Arabidopsis thaliana: one gene and its partner. The protein of the gene in region 2 interacts with the protein of the main gene of each other region in a pairwise test. Each region holds a gene or a part of one and is shown on either strand. Other genes may lie near its edges.

What was found. The genes of interacting proteins can lie anywhere in the genome.
Region 1: the proteins of AT2G24700 (region 2) and CRF11 interact in a two-hybrid assay, tested with the Arabidopsis thaliana proteins (one large-scale study listed by BioGRID).

The regions. Positions count from the first base shown.
Region 1 is NC_003074.8:9,472,900-9,477,266, reverse strand, and holds the start of CRF11 (Integrase-type DNA-binding superfamily protein), read right to left. Parts: upstream 1,856-4,367; 5' UTR 1,449-1,855; exon of another isoform or gene 1,349-1,448; 5' UTR 1,216-1,348; coding exon 217-1,215; 3' UTR 1-216.
Region 2 is NC_003071.7:10,513,115-10,517,481, forward strand, and holds the start of AT2G24700 (Transcriptional factor B3 family protein), read right to left. Parts: upstream 2,298-4,367; 5' UTR 2,175-2,297; coding exon 2,097-2,174; intron 2,022-2,096; coding exon 1,742-2,021; intron 1,667-1,741; coding exon 1,530-1,666; intron 1,436-1,529; coding exon 1,168-1,435; intron 1,101-1,167; coding exon 991-1,100; intron 903-990; coding exon 638-902; intron 554-637; coding exon 267-553; intron 178-266; coding exon 1-177. Other genes in the region: GLR2.3 (glutamate receptor 2.3), read right to left, coding at 3,766-4,149, 4,221-4,367.

The DNA.
Region 1 (4,367 bases), on a different chromosome or scaffold from region 2:
CCTCTCTATCTTCTCCACAACATCAAAACCATTATGTCAACAAAACTTTCTTTAGTAACACCAACACACAAAACTGCATCTGCTTCTATCTTTAGGGTTTTTGCTTCCCTTGAGATTAACTGCCTCTGCTATACTTTAATAACTTAAGACAAAACCGAGTAACAACGAGCTTTTTACGTTGCTCCTATAGCTAATAATAACACCTAGCTGCAAAACTTATGGGCACGCGATATTAAGAGGAGTGGGAGTAGTTGTTGCGATATGATCAACGAAAGCATACTTGTCAATGGTGGTTCCAATGAGACCAAGATCGATCTCCACATCTGAGAAATCATAGTCTGGAAGTTCGCTTGGACCGTCACATTCAAGACCAATGATGTCCAGATCATCTATGCCACAGTAATCATCCAACATTTGGTTGTTGTTCTCTTCTGTTAAGAGAAAATCAAGCTCACAAGCATTTGGGATGAATGAGTCATCAATGAAGCAACCCATTTCAGGAATCTGTAGATCTGCAAAGTCGAAATCAAAACTCGCTTTCTTCGATTCACCAGCTTGTTGATCAAGAGTCGAATCAACTAGCTTCTTGTCAAGATCAATGCTTGACCCTGAGGCTGAGATCATAGAACCAGACTCATTTGACAAAACAGAGGAAGCAGCAGAAGTGGCTGCAGCCAGAGCATCAAACTCAAGCTTCTTGGTAGCATAAGCATCAGCTGCTTGTTCAAGCGTCTCGTAAGTACCCAACCAAGTTCTTACTTTGGTGATTGGATGTCTAATCTCAGCAGCCCATTTACCCCATTTCCTCTGCCTAACACCAACAGGCTTCGAGACAGTAGTAGAAGAACGTCCAACGACCGGAGATGCTTTGCTGCGTAAAACCTTTTTGCTACAAGCTGAGATTTTAGTCTTGCTTACACCATTATTGTTACTCTCCTGACAATATGAGCTTTCAGATTCTGCTTGAGTAGCAGCTTGAGCGAAAGGAAGATCGATCTCACAGACATAACGTTTCCTTCTCTGACTCCTTTCTTCTTCTTCGCTTGATGAGTAGTCAGTAGCGTAAGGATCATTCACAACGAAACGGAGTTTTCTCATAGTCTTCAAATCTTCAGATAAACCTGGGAGGTGATTTAGCTGAAAAGGTTTCTTCTTCATGGGTTTTTTGTTGGGTTTATTGGTTTGAATAGAAGAGCGTTTCTTTCGTTCAGCCATTTTATCGAACACTTGGTGTGCGAAATTCAAAACCAAACCCCCTTAAACCCTAAAAAACCTCTCAAAATTCCCAGAAAAGCCTCAAAATGAACTCTCTCAAGAACAAGAAAAGTCCTTTACCCCAGAACAAGTCCTGTTTCAATAACCAGCAAAAACACAACAACCCACTTCAGATTCGAACAGAGAAACTATAAAAACCATTCAAAGTAACAAACTTTAGCAAACCCAGTTACCTTTTAGGTCTTAAACGCATGGAAATCGATGAAACTGTGAGAAATCAATCACTGAGAGAGCTAGTAGATGTAGCTTGATGAACGAGAAAAACAGAGCAGAAAGCGATTAAGAAGACGAAGAAGGAAGAAGAAGAGAGAGAAGCGTAGAGTCAAAGACAGAGCTCCGGTTAAACAAATTATTCCGGCGACTTCAAAGATCCTTTTCTCTCTCACACTCCTCTCAGCTCTTCGAGCTTCCCAAAAGTGAAAAAGAAAAGTGAGAAGATAAAAGATTCAAAAAGAGGAAGAAGAAGAAGAAGAAGAAGATAAAGTAAAGAATCAAAACGAATCGAAAACAGATGACAAATCTATGGCCAAGATTTTTCTGCCTCTCTATTACCAAAGACAAAACTTTTAATTTATGTCGGAAAAATAAAAGAAAGTTATGTAACTGGTAAATTTAAGAGACCGAGGAATTTAAAAAGATGTTAAAAATCTTTTAAGAAACGATTGTTCAAACACAGATCTCAATAAAAATTTATTAAAGCATTAAAAGAAAGAAAAAAAACGAAGATGGGAAATTAAATTCGTTTTTTATTAGCATTTGGTTTTTTTTTTTTGGACAGTTTTATTTCATTTTTTCGGTTAAGATTGGTGAAAATAGTTTTACAATAGGGATAAGGAAAATGTTTTTTAAATTATCACTTTATCATTTTCGTTGGTTTAAAGTATGAATTTTGGATCTTGTGAATTAAATTCTTAATTTGATGTTGATTTTCAATTTAATTACAAATTCTCGTTGACTAAGCCAATTGAGACACAATTTTTTTTCCCGGTATCGTCAATCGACCTAAAGATGAAAGATTACTTTGAATTCGAATAAGAAGAGAAATTCCAAAGAAGATAAGAGATTCTGAAGAAAAATAGAGAAAAACTCAAAAATTTTAATTAGAAAATTTTTTAACGATGTGTCTTAATTGGCTTAGTTAACGAGAATTCGTGATTAAATTAAACGTCAACATAAAATTGAGGATTTAAATCACCAAATCGAGAGTTTATGTTTTAAACCAACGAAAATGGTAAAGTGATGATTTAAATGACATTTTTCCCTTTTACAATATGGTAATAAAACATACTATTTTTGGAATTATATTATGGATATATGGTAAATAAATTTAGTTTGTGAAAGGAATAATACTTTGTATCGAACAAGTTATTATTGTATTGTAATACATTATTCATGAAATTTACTTCTCACTGTTACTGCACTGTGGGTCTTTTAGCTAAGTGAAGTAATAGAATTTTATTTTATTAATAGTATTAAACTACAATAACATATATATTCGTTTTTTAATTAAAAATAAATAAAAGAGAGTGACTAGTAACTACTCCTTCATTGTTTAGTGAATTATTCATATTATTTGATGTGATGTATACTTGTATTCTATAGTAATTTAACTCATTCTCCCAAATTGACTCTTAAACAAAAACATCAATTATAGATTCTGATAATTTTTTCGGCATTCAACAAAAATATCTTACAAAAGATCGACGAGTATAATTCAATACCATTAATTAACATAACAATTTGTGAGGTTAATTAATTACATTAGAGGTAGTTTACTTTGCAGTATCTTGATTGTGCTAAAGAAGAACAATTTCGAACGTGGAGGATTGTTCCATCCCCACATTTGCTAGTTGCTACCAACCGAGGGACTTTTCATCATAATTTACAAGTCTTCTTCCCATCTTTAGTGGGTATAAATAAATACAATTTTTTTTTTTTTTTTTTTTGTGCACCAAATAAATACAATGTTAATGAGAATAATTCACAACTCAAAACGTTTTTGAATAACTCTGTTTTATTTTTTCCACACTCAAGCATTTCATGAAGTCAATGGTCTCTTTTTGGGTCAACTAAGTCAGTGCTTAAGTTAAGTTACTCTGTAATATTCCGTAACATAACATGATCATGATCACTCTAATAACTTGCAAAATCATTTAAGTTCGGTCCGATTTGAACCGATCAATTTAAACTTGTATTTTAGAGGTTAAGCTCATCCATTATTTGATATCTTACACCATGAACGAACATTTGGTTAACCTAAAGAACACAAAATAAAATAAAAATTTCTAACATTTTTTGCTCGATTCTATTTGGTTTCGGTCCTAATAGTTTTGAAACAACTTAAAACAGGTCGCTTCCAGATTAATCCAAAAAGTTAACATCTCTAGATTAAAATTTATATATCAACTTCAAATTTTATGATTTTTTTGTAAGGTTCATTACGATTCGATCGATTAAAAATTTAAAACATTTTTTACTAAAGAAATACCAAAAAAATATTGAAAGTGTCATTTTCTTTCAATTCCATAAAACGAAAGGAACTCCTAATTTCCAAAATTTTGTTTATTCCACAGCTTTTTTAACATATCGCTCGCATTGCCACATTGGTCCAGACCTACTCCCCTTTTTATTTACAAGATTGCCACTTTAAAGAGTTGGATAATTAATTTAGTTTAAACTAAACATTTTTCTGCAACAATATAGTAGGAAAACAAAAAGCTAGAAGAAAAAAGAAAACAGTGAACGCACGCCTGAATGCATGTGATTGCCTACCCTACGTGAAGAAAAGACGATGCAATTACAGAAGTAAGAAAAACATTTTCTCCACCAATATACAATGACCCTTACTAATTATTACTATTTCAACAAAACGTTTCCTACGTAAGGAAGGCAACAGATTCATTTGATGTCATTTTTCAACGACAATAGACAAAAAAAAAGTAAAGCAATAATAAAGTAAAGTTGTACACTACATATATACTTTTTAAAAATTGTTGAAACACAAAATGTGTGCAAATTTATAACAGTGTATACAAAATGGATGTTCAACTACGTCAAAGACTATTCATGAAGAAAAACGGTCGTGACAAAAT
Region 2 (4,367 bases):
CTCATTCATCTCAACACCATTAACCTCGCAGAAACCTTTTGAACCTCTTCCTAAACTCATTGTTCCGATCTTGTCCATCAGTAGTGAAGTACGCCATTTTGCATCGTATCTATCAACCATCGTTATCTTCCCCGCCTTTTTGATTCCATTCCGCTTCATGAATTCAAACGGAAGATTCTGTAGATACCATCATCAGATTATATATCGAGAGTATTAAGTGGAAAAAAAAAAACAAGAAAAAAACAGAGTTTTCTTGTGAAACTTACAAGTTTACTTGAATGTGTAAGTGTTAAGGTCACAAATCGGTTTTGGCTTGTTGAGTTTTTCTCTTCTGTGGAAACATATTCTTGTTTAATAGTTTGTGAACATTGTCCTTGCCTTATATCTTCATTGATAGGTTCAGCAAAAGGAAGAGTATCTTTCTCGCTAGCTTTAAAGGAGTCATTACAGTAAACTTCTTCCCCAAGAAACTCATTTTCTGTGGCTTCCATGCCAAGAAACTCTTTTTTGGTAACTTTTAAACTCTGTCCATGCCTTGTGTCATTGCTAGGATCTGCAGAGGAAGAAAGTGCTTCTTGTTATTCAATTTTATTTCAATATTTTTGTTTCTTGAAAGAATAAAGCATAAACAACTTACTAAGTTTGTGTAGATCTTCACTGTTCAAGGGTAACAACTGGAGCACAGGTGTTTCTTCGTTATGGACTAATTTGAATTTGAGCAAGTCTCCTGGTTTCTTCCCATTAGCCACACAGAATCTTCTCCAACCTCTTATCGTTAAAAACCGGCCTGTATGTGCCTCATGTTTCACATCTATCGTCCATGATTCTCCCTCTTCATTCATTAGACACATCTGAAATTTCTTCAACAAACCATTTGACATAATGAACGTCTTCGGAAGATACTGCAGTCAAGTACAGTCACCATGAATATCATTAAAACACCTCTCAGTCAAATCAAAATCAATATATGTAAGTCAGGAGTATCATAACCAGTCTATCTCGGCTTAGATTTGAAGCCGTGACAGTGGCTACAAAAGAAGAAAGGTCCGGTGAAGAAGGAGCTGCTTCTGTTTTTCGAATCTTGTGTCTTGGAAGACTCTCTGTATCAATTATAGAATCTGATTGAGATTTTTCTCAATAACCAACGGATTATGAAAATTAACTTACGAAGTTTGTCTAAATCTTCAATGGTCATAGGGAACAACTGTATCATAGGTGTTTCTTCATTTTTGACCAATTTGAATGCAAAAACGTCTCCAGGTTTCTTCCCATTAGCAATACAGAAACTTCTCCAGCCTCTTCTCATGTAAAACCGGCCGTAATTATATGCCTCGCGTCTCAAGTCTATCTTCCATGATTCTCCTTCTTCATTCATTAACACAATCTGATATTTGTTCATCAGACCATTTGACAATGCAAACTCTTTCGGAATATACTGCAAATGCCGCCACAAGCCAAGTTAGATAGAGTTATCAAGAATATACAATAACATAAAAATTACTGTAATGAGTAATATGGAAGTAACATACCAATGTATCGCGCTTTAGATTCGAACCCGTGACAGTGGCCACAAAACAAGAATCTAGTGAATTGTCTGGTGCAGACTCAGCTTCTCTCTTTAGACTCTTTTTCTTACTTGAAACATTCTCCGTACCACAAAGTTTCTCTGTTGATAGATTAAGTAATATTCTTAGACTCATTCTAAATGTGCTAATGATATTTAATATGAAACTAAGGTTACCAATTTTATCCTCTTCAAGGGTATCTTCTCCGTATTGAATCTCACAGCAACTTGGTCCTAAAGCTGTGACATGGAACACTAACTCTCCTTCTTGTCTGAAAACAACAATGTCACCAACTCGGAGATCATGTGCGATTGTGAAATCTTCCCAACCATTAGAGAGTCTCCGGCCGTCTATCTTCACTTTCCATGTCATCTCCGATGCATCTGATCTGAGCTCAGCCGTTTTTCCTACGTTAGTTCCCACTAAGTACTTCAAGAAGAACGCCACAGGAATGTCCTGAAACAGCATGCTAGATGAGTTACAAACAGAAGTAACTTAACTGGTCGGAGAGAGTATAGAGAAACAGAGTACCAGGTGGTTGGTGAAACCGGGAAGAAGTGGTTGGAAGAATTGTGGGTTGATCGGAGAATAGAGAAGTGGATTAGCCATATTCAGACGTTGAATTTTTTTAAGTTTTTCTTCTTCTGAGCGGAGAGAAGATGAACTAACAACTTTGTATCCCTTACTTCTGTAATGTAAAAAAATAACCTTTCTCAGCTTTCTATACAAAACGTCAAAGAAACTTTCTCAGCTTTTTCTATAAAGCAATGTTAAAAAAGACCTTTATCAGCTTTTTCCAAAGACTATATATTGTTTTCGAAAAAAACAAGTTTTGACTGAGAATAGTGTTGGGATTGAACATAAAGACTCTGATTGGTTATGGAAAATATTCATCAAATAAACTTAGCAAATATCAATGAACGAGAAAAATAAATCTTGAGAAGACATTGGTCTTTAACCAAAAGAAAGAAAAAAAGAAGAAGAAAAAGATCTGAAACTAAATATGCTTAATTCAACACGTAGGTACCATAATAATGTAAAAATAGTTTACAAGAAATTAAATCTTAGGAAGTGAAAACATTCATGTTTGCTATCAAAATATCATATGGTTTTGACAGTAAATTAGTTAGTTACGTTGTGGATTCGTTTTTGTCAAAAAGAATAAGAATTCGATTCTTTGTTTGCATTTACGTTTATATTTTTCAAAAAGTGAGTTTATTGTAAAACTGAAAAACGTTTTGTATTTTTAACAATGTAAAAGAATATTTTAAGTACACGCAAAAAAGGCTTAAAATAATAGTGTGTTCAATCTTCAATGTAAGCAACATTTCTCTTGAAACCACAAACAAAAATCACGAGAGGGAACTATTTGTACATCAGTATTCAGTAGCACTGTAGGAATACGTATCACGTGCATCTAGGCTATCTCTTTATTCCCCACAAAGCAAAAAAAGAAAAAATCCAAACTAATCACTACAAAGTACAAAGCGCAACGCACCAAAATATCCATCTTTTCTTTTGTTTGTGAACAGTTCCATCTATTGTCTCCTTTTCCAGTGAAAACCAATATGTATTGGGTCTGAATGGAAGAACAGAGGAGTTACGGATATAAAGCAGAGCAGGACAAACACAATTGTATCTTAATAAACCAATATATCCAGTTATTCACCTGTACTTGGTTTTGTCCTACTACAATAATAGATTTGCATTTGAATGCATTTAAGTATATTAAAAAGTGGTTAAACTAACACTATTACTACAATTATCCAAATTATTTTCGTTTCTAATATTTATTCTTTCTATTTTCTACTTCTATGTTAAAATGTCTTAATTGTCAAACTATGAAATCCACATCTCACTTTGCGCTGAGACCACATCTTTTTTTCAGCATAAACGTGAAAATTTCTTTAGATTATATTAACTGCATATAAGTATAACCCAAAAAAGAAAAAGTATAACCCTAATTCCAGATAAGTTAATATGCTACTAGTCGTTAGCACATAAGAATTTATAGCATTAGGTTTAATGTCTTGCATAACACGTAATAAAATCTACCTCTATTGTAACTTTGATAGTCTCTCTTAAATGGGTCATTTGTTTCTGAAAATCCTTATTTACAAAATAAAGTACAATTCTTCATTCAAAAGAAAAAAAAAGTACAATAGTTTGGTATAATAATAGCATATGTTTTTTTGTTAAATTAAAGACTGTCTTGGTCATGAACTTGAGACATATTTAATTGTGTCTTCCTCTTGACAGGCATTTGTTGACTTGATGAACACGGACTCATCTCTACCTTATCGAGGTACGAAACCTGGTCTTTCGCTAGGAAACAATATGTGAAATTTCCGAGTGCCATAACACACACAAGTAACACGCCAACAAACAGAAACAAGAAACTGTCTATGTCAAGCTGCCTAGAGGTGAAAGAGGGATTTGGATCTGGATTAGTAATTGGATCAGGACAGCTTTGTTCTTTCTTCTTGAACCATGCACGCTCGAGCTCCATTGCCTTTGGAGACTCTGCTACTTTTAAGATGGCCCTTGAAACATCGGCCACTAGAGGTGATCCGATTGGAAAAACCTGCGAAAAAGGACTTATGATCTCTCACCATTTAATGCAATTTTCACATAAGTTTTGATATAGGAACTTACAAAGCCGAATCCATCAACATTGAAGGGTTCTTCAACCATTTTGTATGTGTTGCAAAACTGTCCAAGAAAGAGTCTCAAGTAAGGTATTTCCAAGAAAGCTCCAGAGACACCACCTTTTTTTGGTCCTTTACTTAGAAGCTCATCACA